Linked DNA regions of Drosophila melanogaster. The protein of the gene in region 1 purifies or fractionates together with the protein of each later gene. This does not show direct contact. Each region holds a gene or a part of one and is shown on either strand. Other genes may lie near its edges. The genes, in order: stv and STUB1.

Region 1 (7,898 bases):
TAAGGCCCGCTCCATTCCCGATCCAGGGTTCTTTTGTATATGTATTATTGATCGAGATTTATAACCTTTTCGATAATAAACTTTGATAATTGTGCAACCGAAGGATAACACAGTTTTATGGTCAACAATATCTACATTTATTTTCGCATTAATTAGTAGCATAAATAGTTATCATAGTTTTTTTTTTTTTTCTATAAGAGTTTACGTTCGTTTAACAATTCACCTGCAGCAAAGCCGTGAGTGGTGCACTCGGCGTGATTGGATGGATGAGTTGGCCTGTGGCAAGCAAGCGCGTCTGCTGTAGATTTGTATGAGATCATACGGCGGCTTGCTGCCCCTGTTGCTGCTCATCGGTACAATTTACGTATAAAAACTGGACTCAGGTTCAAAAATATCCTCATGGTGATCATCTATCGCTTAAACATAATCAGCTCTTTTAAGTGAAGCAACCCTTGTTGCCAAATCGTTTTCGCTCTGTTAACTTCCGAATTCTATGCAGGCACATTTTCTCAATATTAATTCTCTTACTAGCCTATAATCTACGCTGTGTGGTGTGTGTGTGTGTGTGTGTGTGTTATGATGTGTGGGGATGAGTGGGTGTTGAGTGGTTGACACGTGAGATTTGCATATGTTTAGATAGTACGGTTGTGCTTCTACGAAATACTAGCAAAGATTCGTCGCCAGCTCCTCCTATTCACATTCACATTACACATCAAATTCACTTTCACATTTACTTTGAATTCAGTAAAATCAAGTCTGTCGCTGTCCGTTGATGAGTCGGGATCGGAACTCTTCTCTATCCTCCGCCTGTTGTCACTTAAATTTGGTTAATTTGCGTAGCTGCTTCGAAACGGTCGCCTTGTAGAGGCGCTGTGTTCATCATTCCGACGTCGTTGTGGTTGTCTCCGACTGAACGGCGGACTGTGTCGCCTCCGCGGCGGTGGCTTCCGAAGCAGCTGCGCCCTCGACGGCAGCAGCATTTGGTGGTGCTGGTAGAGGGATGGGTTCCTGCATCTTTGTAGCATCCTGTGGCTGTGGAGTCACTGGCTCCGCATTTTGTCCGGCCGCTTCCGAGGCAGCAACTGCACCTGTGTCAACCGCTGGAGCTGTTGCGCTAGGTGCAGGTGCTGCTCCTGATGCCGCTCTGGCATTCTCCTCGGCCTTGGCCTCCAGCACATTTATCGAAGCCTGAATGCATCTGCAAGGAACAATCATTGAATTAATTAAATTCGATAATGAGCTCTGGTGACTCTGGTCACTTACTTGATAGCCTCCTTTCGGGCCAGACGAATGCTGTCCTTGCCGTTTGTGTCGATGGTGTCTAGCTTAAGCAGGTTGCGGGTCAGCATCTCGTCCAGGTAGGCGTACTCCTTCTCCTCGCGCGTTCCCTTGAACTGCTCCACCTTGCCCATGAGCTCCAGTACGTCGCGCTGAATGTCCTGGATTTTGTTAATAGAGTTGAGGGTATGTGGTGTCTGTGGCGGCAATCCAGCGGCTCCCTCAACTGGCACCTGCTGCTCAGGTTGCGCCTGGGTGTTTAGTGGCGTCGGTCTGTTGTGCTGCTGTGGAGCAGCGTGTGCCTGTGGCTGCGCCTGCGCATATGCCTGTGCCTGAGCTTGGGCCTGAGCACTGGGCGGAGCGTTCTGGTTCGGTATCTCCTTGTGGGCATTGATGATGGGCTCGGAGCGACCCTCAACAAAGATGGGAATGGTGCGCACATAGGTGCCACCCGGGGTCTGTGGAGCTGGCGGCGGGGTCTGCTGCTTTTGCTGGGGATGCGTCTGCTGGTGCGGCGCATAGTAGGTCTTGAACTGCTGACCCTGAACGGGCGGACTTGTCTGGGTGCCAAACGGTTGGCTATGTACTCCCGGTTGCTGATGCTGTTGCTGCTGCTGGTGATACTGCAGATTCTGCTGCTGCTGCTCTGGCGGAGGGGCGGAGTGGGATCGCAGTCCCTGATCCTGCTCGGCGACACTCTTCACGCCCATGTCGACAGTGTTTCGCAGTCCGTGCTGGTTCAAGTTAGTCGGCGGGGCACAATCAACCTCCGAGCGACCGGCAGGATCCTCCGTCTGGATGGCAGCATCGCAAAGGCGCTTTGAAGGCGTCTGCGGCACCTGCTGCTGGGTTGGTCCGGCATAGACTGGCTGTTGCTGGGGCGGCACACCGAACTGGAAGTGCGTCTGGGGTTGCTGTTGGGTGTACTGCGGCTGTGGCTGCGGCTGTTGCTGCTGTGGAACTTGTCCGGGTGCAGGAGCAGCTCCGGTACCACGTCTGCCTCCGAAACCATCTGGGATATACTGGCGGAACTCCGAGGGCAGCCGATTAAAGAAGTCATCATCGTGGTCCATGTGAGTGTTGGCCCCACCGGCCATTCGACCTCGGCGGCCCATCGTTGAGAAGCGGGGGAAACCAAAGTCTGGATCGTCGAAATAGGATGGAAAGTCATCATCAGCATGGACTTGACCACTGGGACCGTGCAAACTGCTCCGCTTACGTGAGTCGCCGAAGCCGGCGAAGGGATCGTGCATCCTGCCCAGGTGCGAGCGCGGGAACATGTTGTCCATGTCCATGTTCGGTTCGAATCCAAAGGTCGGCTGCTATCAACAGAGAGTAATTATAAATAATTAAATTATAATGAATTCGGAATGATTCTAGCTAAGAAGCTCTAATATGCAGGTATTCTTTTGGTAGCAACCACATTCTAATAGTTATTACTTTTATAATTTAAATCATGTTTATTAAGTTGCAAATATTGGTTTGAAAGTAAAAGTGCTTTTATCCGGTTAAAAATCGTATTTTAAATAAAATAATCGCTGTTTCACATCAACTATGTATTTGTTCTGTGTAGCAATAGAGGAGTGCAAATTGTTCGACTCGGTGGGCGAATTGTTTATAAATAACAGGGTGAGTCAGAACCATATAGATTGGGTACGAGTGTGGGCAAACAAGTGATGTCAATTGGCACTGAATGAACAGCTGTTGGGGAGCGGATGGATCTCGATGTCGATGTCGATGTCGGAACCTTACCTTTTGCCTGCTCAATTTGTTAACTTTATCAATGAGCTGTGCTCACTGCTCGTCAATTATTTCGCTACAAGTGTATTTACGAGTATTTAGCTATAGCCTGAATGTCTTTTTAGCTTTTGAATGCTTTTCCGCTTGGTGACGTGATGCACTGCGTCCGATTGTTTACGTGCGAATGAGGCGACTCGTCGGCCGAGAAGGCCTTTTAAAGCGAATGGCGCCCACTCTCGAATCCGCTGGCTGATTCTGGCCACTTCTCGTAGTTTCTGAGACAGTCGAGTGTTCTCGGTTCGGCTCGACGACCGATTTTGAGTCTCTCCTAAAAGGACGCTCTCTCTGCTGTTCAACTCAATTACCCGAAGTGACTTGTGGAAGTACAGTGAAATAAAAGATTCGGCTTTACTGTATCACATTTTCTGAATTGAACGGTAGGGACAAGATAAGTGTGTTTACTTCAACAATTAGTATTGTTTTACAATACCCTTCAATTATTAATGATAATTTACTGGCTTTCTTACATAAGCGCACTTGAAGAAATTGTCGTATATACGAGTATGTATACAAATTTGTATTTTTTTAAGGTTTTATAAGGCTTTTTTTAAATGGGAAACCTTTTGTAAAACAGATATATGTTTAAAAACGCCTTTCTGCGGTTACAAGAAGTTCTTAAACTTCTCGCTATCATGGCACCTTTATCTGTTTAAAGTCCAAAGTTCACCTTAGCACGTACCCACTGTACGTTAAGTTGGTGATGACGTTTTTATATAGTCAACGTCACCAACGCATTGCCGAGGCCCCCGCGTTGGCCAAGTTGATGTTGAGCAACCAAAATCCACCCACGCTTCCCATTAGACAACTGGCATGCTTCCACCGATATGCGCACATATGGAGTGCCATTGTGTGTTTACTGTACGGTGTGCCCACCTACAGTGGAAGACACAGACACGCACAGCAGACTTTGTTAAAGAATCAAGAGCGGGCCAATAGTATAGAGCGTTATTTCGATTCGACCAATTCTCAGCGCCCAAATAGAAAGAACGAGAGCATTAGCAGCAGAGCAACGCGTCATTAGCTTGTGTGTTTTCTTCTAGAAATTTTCAAATATTTTCTACGATTTGGTCGTGATAGATTTGGATTGCTGGCCATTAGATTAGGCCGCAAAGAAACAGCTGTACATTACTTGTCTCTGGTAAAATTCCGCACGCGTTGCGGCATTAATCATACGCAGCGTTGGCCACTAGACGAGCGCTTGACACGACATCAGCCCAGAAACTTGGCCATCCCCCCAGCAGATACTGCAAGCTTATGCCCAGTAGGTCAACAGAGTGTGCACACACACTTGACACACACTTGCAGGGGGTTGGATTTTCCCTCGCAACCCACTTTGTGGAGGGGTGAGTAGAAGAGGCTTTTACGCAACCACACTGACTTTTTCATTGTTCCGCACTCTTATTGCGATTTAGAGAGTTTACATAGCGCTAAAAGGCAATGCGAAATTGCCAAGGATTCAGTCCGAAAAGCGAAACAAATGGAAAAACCGCTGTGTCATAGCACAGTAAAATAAATAAAACTTAATCGCCTACCCAAGAATATTTCGCAAACAAAGAGTTAAGCTCGTCGGTCATTAATAGTAATTTGGAAAATGCCCAAGGTATTTAGAAAAATCTGGCCATCCTATAAGTATCTGTGAAGTACATTTTGTTGAATTAAAACAAAAGTAGTAGTAGATGCAGACTAACTAAAGACAAGACTATCATATTTAAATCACTCTTCATTTCGATTTAGTTATCACAGTCAGCTCCTATTCTATTTCTGAGTAGAAGTTGAACATAGATCATGCTACAATACCCACTGTAATTATTCCAAACCAACTGTTTCCGCGTCTAGAATCCCCACTGTACTTAAATTGCCACACGGCTAGCGAACAACAAAAACCATGACACTCATACGAATATGTCCCAGCTATGCGATCGAGGCTTTTTGGGGGCGGGGGAGATCTGGAGGGTGGGGGTTCGACCTTGCCAGGCGCCAACCTTGGGATCTCTCGCCGCTGCCGCTCGTCTGCCACCCTCTCCGCCTGCCCCCCTCCCCCCCTCGACAGACAAGCGCTGGGGGCCACTCACCTGAAAATGTTGCTGCTGCTGATTTGGAGGAACCTGCTGGTGCTGCTGGAAGTGCTGCTGCTGCTGCCTGGGCGATCCGTAAGCGTTTTGGGGAGTGTGGAACTGTGCCGACTGCTGTGGCGATCCGTAGCCGCCACTCACGTACTCCCGGTTTACGGGTATATTGACACCGGGACCGCCGGGTGAGACATTATTACCGGCGGCGGTGGCGGGATTGCTTTGCGCCTGATTGGCCGCCATCACAGTGGGCTTCATGGATGATTCGCTGGCCAGGAAAAGACCGTAACCGTAATCGCAATCGTATCCGTATCCGTACCGCTCGTACCGCTGGCCTAAACGCTATCGAATCCGTCGACGTTTCGCTGCGTAGCGACAATTTTTAATTTATTTCCTTTTGTTGATACTTGGCTGTGACTTTTCGTCGGCGACTACTTGTCGTGCCAGTTGTTGAGATTAATTTTTGGACGCGGGCTGGTGTGCACGAGGATGGCGGGGGCTTTTAATGGAGGGGTGCGGGCGCGGGCTCACCTTGAGCGACGACGCGTGCGAATACCGCTCGATTTCGATTGGGGCTTCTCGTATGTTCCTGATGCTTTAGCTCCTGCTGCTGCTGTTGGTGCTGCTGCTGCTGCTGTTGCTGCTGCTTTTTTGCTAAACGACCGGAGTGTGATGTCACTTTTGGCCACACTTTCTAGCTGCCGCACACCGATACGGCCACTTTTTTACTTCCACTTTTTTCAGCTTTTTAAGTATTTCCGCTCGCGCTCTCTGGCCCTGCGCTAGTGTTTGTGCGAGTGTGGGTTTTCGGATTTCTATATTCAATTTAAAATATATATAGATTTTTTATTTTTGCACATTGCCACTCGGTTGTTTGTTGTTGTTTTTACGGGGCCACGCATCCACACGGGCGTCCTCACGCTGCCAAAGTTGCTCGTCGACTGAGCGCCATCGCCATTTGCTTCTAACCATTACCGTATAATTTGCCTTTGCCAACAGCCCCACTGTGGCGCTCTCTCTCCCTCTCTCTCGCCCGCTCGATTCTCATCCGCTCTCCGTTCGGCCTCCCTCTATCTTTCTCTCGCGGTAAGCTTTGCTTGGCTTCTACCTGGCTTTTCTCCGGCGGTTTCAGACCTTAATTGGTAAATGTTTAATACTATCTTACGGATACGGATACCGTTCTCTCGATCCGCTCTCCCCAGCTCGCTCTCCCCACTCTCTCTCTCTCCGTGCACCGATCAGACATCAGACTTATAAATAGAAAGTTGGCCAAGAGAGCGGCTCTCTAAAACGCATTCCTCGGCAGTCGCATGGCTTCTAAAATTCAAATCTGTAACCGTAAGCCACACTGCGGGAAATTTGGCACGATAAATGACTCTAGTTGGTAGTAACTATCGAATATGACCATTTCGCGATATAAAAAACGGTTTATAAATTCTTGAATAAAATTGGGAAAAATATAAATATCAAACTCCTACGCAGAAACTAACTGTTGTGCTCATCAGTTATAATATCAGTTATAATATGCTTAATTTAGACAATCAAAATCTGTATTTCTCTTACCATTACCGTCGGGTCCATTATGCCATTTTTAACCAAAAGTATTCAATTAATCTTCTTTTATCTCAGTGCCTTCGGGCCGCCTACATACAACCACTGCGTCACAACCGCCAAAGAGCAGCAACGAGTAAGGCAAACACGAAGGCAAAAAGAAGGCAAAATCAGCAGCGTAAACAGTTGTCATCGCCCACTGACGGAGTCTTGTTGAGCGGCCAATCAATCGATCAATGACTAACGATCTGTTGCCACAGCTCCCCCGCACTTGATACCTTTTCAGTTTTCGCCATAAACAAATGTACAATGTGCAGTAGCGACAGAATGTCTTCGCAAGTCGACTGTTATTGCAAAACGATCAGCTGATAACCGCCAGTTGTTTGGACCAAATGTTTACTCCACCTAAGCAACCAGCGCCATAAGCATTTTCTTTTGAATCACGAAGTGACCCACGCGTACAGCTCTGGTCAACATAATAGGGTTGGATAAAATGGGTTTTCCGAGACCATCACAAAATTATAAAAACTTAAAAATCAATTTTAATTCAATTTAATTTGAGAACAAAGTTGGTCAGAATATAGGTCAAATAACTTAAATAACTTATTGAATCATCGGTTGCTTGAAGCTTTAGCCAAGAATATTTTTTTTATTAAAGTATCGTTAAAAATATATTTTTGCTGGGGCACGATTGGTATAATTACAATTATTCTGTATCATTTCCGTATCCATTTCGCTGATAGGATTTCTTTAAACGTTTCTCAATTGTTTCATTATTAGTATATTAACCTCAATTGTAGATCTGTGAGAATATGCATGCTCGTCTGTATGAATGTATATAATCAGACGGCCGGCGGCGGCACGCCCACCTATCTTTATCCATTAGATTTATTTTCCAAATACTTTCTCGTTGTTTGGGCGAACCACTGCGTCGCCAGGGCATATAAAATGGAAATAATTCATAATTAAATATTGCACATCTCTGTATAGATATAGAAGTGAATTGTATACGTTTATATCTGATTATATATATACATGCGATTTTTGTTTTTATAATTTGCCATGTAGATACACGAGCGAAATGCAATGCCAGGCATTTATGCATTTCAGACGTTTTTCTCGGAACTCGTATTTCAAATGTAAATATATCTTTTTTCTGAAACGGGTCAAGATAAATAAATCAGTCTCGTGAAGTTATTG
Region 2 (4,396 bases), on another chromosome or scaffold:
TATGGTGAATTATAGGTTTCCTTCCCGGAGTTATCCTAACGGATTTACTAGTGGGCGGATGGGGAACTTTTTTCTCTGGTTAGCTTCTGGTTTGGCGGATTTTTGTTTGATTATGGCGGTCGCTGGTTACCATAATTTTAGGAATTGGTTGGCTAAACCTTTGATTCGACAATTAATTGTAACACAGCGGATTGGTGAAAAAAAAAACTATTAACTTTTGATTCTAGGGACCTCTCACAAGCAGGATGACATTGGAGGAAAAGAATTTACGCGAAAACTCAGCGCAGGCGCAGTTAACAGTCGATGGTTTTAAGACTGGTTTCGATATTTAATACTTTAAAAATGTTGAGGATTTATTAATTCAAACTGCAATGAAAAGGTATATTTTTAATAACAATGATAATATATTAAATGCGAGTAGGTGTATATTAATATCTTCTTATTCAGCTTGCAAATCAATCAAATCTAAGTCTATTTCTATAAGCTTTCTTCACATAATCATACTATATATCAAATGGAATACAAAACATATTATATATACATTAATTAAATATAATTTAAATAAATTTTAGAAACTACAGGAACATTGGTATTGGAACAGCATATGTTCCAGCTATCGATATCAGACTTACCTTCACTAACGTAAATAGAATCAATAGTCGCTTAAAAATATTGACATTGCATTTAGTTTTGTCTTGAGTTCTTGATAAAATGGCGAGCAAAAGAAAGCACCAAGCATCCCAGAAAGTGAAAGAGGAATCCTTCAAGAAACACACGCTTGACTCCGATGAAGAGGATTCTGACGACTACGAAAGGTAATGCTTAAAATGTGCAAACAATTGATTGTTTTGATTTCGGCACTTTTTGTTTGCAGGGAATACCTCAATGATAGCGACATTGAGGGCGGCGAGGAGGGCGTGGCAAAAGTGGAAGACGATGTGAAGGTAACACCCTTCAATATGAAGGAAGAACTGGAGGAGGGACACTTCGACAAAGATGGTCACTACCATTGGAACAAGGAGACGGAAGCAAAGGACAATTGGTTGGACAACATAGACTGGGTTAAAGTAAGGATTCCATCACTGCTGCCTGTACACAATCATTTAATTTAAAAGCAATATTTGCCTAACAGATTGGCACACAGAAGAACGCCTTCGACCCGGCAAAAGATGAAGAAAACTCTTCCGATGAGGAGAAGAACGAACCCGTGGGCAAGGCCTTTAACTTGTCCATGAACCTCATGAAAATGGTCGAGTTTATGAAACCGGGAGAGACTGTCAAGATGACCCTGCAGCGTCTGGGTAAGCAGCGCCCCGTCCTAACAACCCTTCAGAGGATTAAGCAGAAAAAGGCCGGCATCGTTGACCCAAAGACACAGGAAATCTCTCAGCTCACCGAGCTGGCCAACGAGATTCTCTCGAAGACGGGCAATATGGATATATATCAGGATACGTACGAAAGCATCAAGGCCAAGATCGCCGATTTGCCAGGAACGAGCAAACCTAAAGTAGCCGATGATATTGATATGTATGCAGATGATTTCGAAACGAAAGAATTGGAGCGCTCTAAGACATCGTCGAGTGATAGCTCCAAACCAACGACGACTACCTCAGAGGTGACCTGGGAGTTTAAATGGTCGCAGGATGAGACTGATATCCAGGGACCCTTTTCCACGGAGAAAATGTTGAAATGGTCCCAGGAGAACTACTTTAAAAACGGAGTCTATGTGCGAAAGTGCGGCGAAAACACAAATTTCTATACAAGCAACCGCATAGATTTCGATTTGTACTTGTAGGCCTTAGTTAACAAATGTTAAATTCTTTGGGTTTTAACATGTTTTCTGCAAATACTTTGTTCTATAATTGTATACTGTATACTTTACAAGAGGTTTCAATTAGTTTGCACTTGGTTTGGACTTAAAATAAAATTCATATTCATATTGATTCTGTCGGCTCTTAAATTTGGTCAGATATACCAAATTATGTATCCGAGTTACTTGCGCTAGTGACGAATAGCGAAAGATTCTTCTATTAGACCCACTAGTTCAGTAAGAGATATCTGATAGTCGAGAAACTCGAAAATGGCACTGTTGTTTTTGAAATGTGCAAACGATAGTGTGGCAAAAGTATCGTTTGGGCGGTGATAGTGCAATCGATGAATGTGCAGCTTTAATTTAAGCTTGTGAGTCTTGGCAACTCTAGAAACACATCGATTAACGTAGCTGAAAATTGTTTTATGTTTAATTAAATACAGGCGAATAGCTCAAGATCTTTTTGGTGTTATGAGCGTTCAAAAGTCACTACCGTTTCCCACTTAATACTTTGTTAACTGTTAAGTTCGTGCAGCAGTTCCCCAATTCTTGCAGAGGAAACAAATTTACGAGTGCTTCGGTGTTGTTGGACACACACTCACTTTTCATCGGTGGAAAATCAAATTTGGGACCAGGCGCAGAAGATTCGTCAGGATGACGACCAAGCACATCTATTCCACGACCAATTTATCAGATCTGCAATTAAAGGAGCAGGGAAACTGCTTGTTTGCAGCCCGAAAATATGACGACGCAATAAATTGCTACTCAAAGGCCATCGTAGGTGTCTCACATATTTTTGTTATTGTGATGTGTATTTTGTTGTTTACATGTGCACTATGCTCCATATAATATGTAGATAAAGAACCCCACAAACGCCACATACTTCACAAACCGAGCCCTCTGCAACCTGAAACTGAAGAGATGGGAACTGTGCTGCCAGGATAGTCGGCGCGCCCTCGACATCGATGGGAATCTGTTGAAGGGTCACTTCTTCCTGGGCCAAGGACTCATGGAAATCGACAACTTTGACGAGGCTATAAAGCACCTTCAACGGGGTTAGATAATACCTGACCTTTGATGTTCTCTACACTAACTAACCATATATGAAACTTATAGCATACGATCTGTCCAAGGAGCAGAAGCAAAACTTTGGGGATGATATTACACTACAGTTGCGACTAGCTCGCAAAAAGCGCTGGAATGTTATGGAGGAGAAGCGAATACAGCAGGAAATCGAGCTGCAAAGCTATTTAAATGGGTAAGATGTTATTCGAATTCTCTAGATGCCTTTTGCAAACTAAATTTAGTCACCGCACGACGATATCGAGGCAATTGTTGTCCTCATGTGATAGAATATATATTAAAAAAAGCGAAATTTGTGCAAAACCTAAATATTTATGTTTCAGTCTAATAAAAGGGGACATGGAAAGCCGTTTGGCCAATTTAAAGCTGAATGGAAATGTACACGATGAGCAGCTGAAAGACAAGCAACAGGAAATTGAGCAAGAATGCGTAAGTTGGACTTTAACCAGAATATTTAGCGGAGTTGACAATCTAATTTTACTTTTTAGGATGACCATATTAAGGAACTTAACAATATATTTTCTAAGGTTGACGAACGTCGAAAGGTAAGAAACTAAAGGAAAAATAACCAATATTAAAAATATTGTTCTAATATTGTTATTTACATATTACAGAAACGTGAAGTTCCCGATTTTCTATGTGGCAAAATAAGTTTTGAAATATTAACAGACCCTGTGATAACTCCATCTGGAATTACGTATGAACGAAAAGATATAGAAGAACACTTGCAGCGGGTTGGACATTTCGATCCTGTGACACGCGTTAAGCTCACTCAGGATCAACTAATACCAAATTTTTCAATGAAGGAAGTGGTTGACTCTTTTATTGCCGAGAATGAATGGTCTTTAGATTATTAAGTTACTTATTAGTTGGCATTGTCATTGTAATTGATTAGATGTTAGAACCCAGTTCCCATTGTCTAAAAACCAGATAAGTGATAATAAATGTGGATCTGCAATTGAGATTTATATTGTAAATGGATAAATTGTAATTATTAATAAATTAAACAGCATAATGTTCAAAATATAAATAAAAAAGCTTTTGCACGATATCGATAGAGAGTTAGCGGTAGTGTGAAAACAATATAGTTTCGATCACCCGTTCCAGTTAGTCAAAAAGTTGGTGATATCTTGACCAAACAAATTATCGATATACAGCTGCTTACAGATTTGCAGAAATCATTTTCAAAGAAATTTGTTTATGTGAATTCACAATTGGATTAACTTCGCTCTTCTTTGTTTAGTATTTATTTAACAATAATATGGATTCGTCTGAAAGCCAATCGCAAATGGATGACCAAGATGCTCGCATACTGCGTCTGCAAAATCTGATCGAAAAGAATATTGAGATAGGTAAGTTAAATCATAAATTACTAATATCTGAAATAACTATATGAATTGCAGAGCAACAAATCGAAAACAACACCATCGGAGAGTCTATCACGGCCATAGAGGAAATCATTCAGACAGCCAACGATATCAGCAAGGGACATGAAGACCGCCG

What was found.
Region 2: the proteins of stv (region 1) and STUB1 purify together in Drosophila melanogaster (affinity purification with western blotting, with the first as the bait; one study listed by BioGRID). This does not show direct contact.

The regions. Positions count from the first base shown.
Region 1 is NT_037436.4:13,475,735-13,483,632, reverse strand, and holds stv (starvin), read right to left. Parts: upstream 6,093-7,898; 5' UTR 5,406-6,092; coding exon 5,151-5,405; intron 3,190-5,150; exon of another isoform or gene 3,031-3,189; intron 2,870-3,030; exon of another isoform or gene 2,719-2,869; intron 2,601-2,718; coding exon of another isoform or gene 2,598-2,600; coding exon 1,264-2,597; intron 1,199-1,263; coding exon 880-1,198; 3' UTR 118-879; downstream 1-117.
Region 2 is NT_033779.5:10,435,375-10,439,770, forward strand, and holds STUB1 (STIP1 homology and U-box containing protein 1), read left to right. Parts: upstream 1-2,173; 5' UTR 2,174-2,464; coding exon 2,465-2,587; intron 2,588-2,666; coding exon 2,667-2,865; intron 2,866-2,926; coding exon 2,927-3,068; intron 3,069-3,216; coding exon 3,217-3,322; intron 3,323-3,381; coding exon 3,382-3,438; intron 3,439-3,507; coding exon 3,508-3,750; 3' UTR 3,751-3,866; downstream 3,867-4,396. Other genes in the region: holn1 (hole-in-one), read left to right, coding at 712-815, 875-1,067, 1,133-1,795; Nse4 (Non-SMC element 4), read left to right, coding at 4,155-4,245, 4,297-4,396.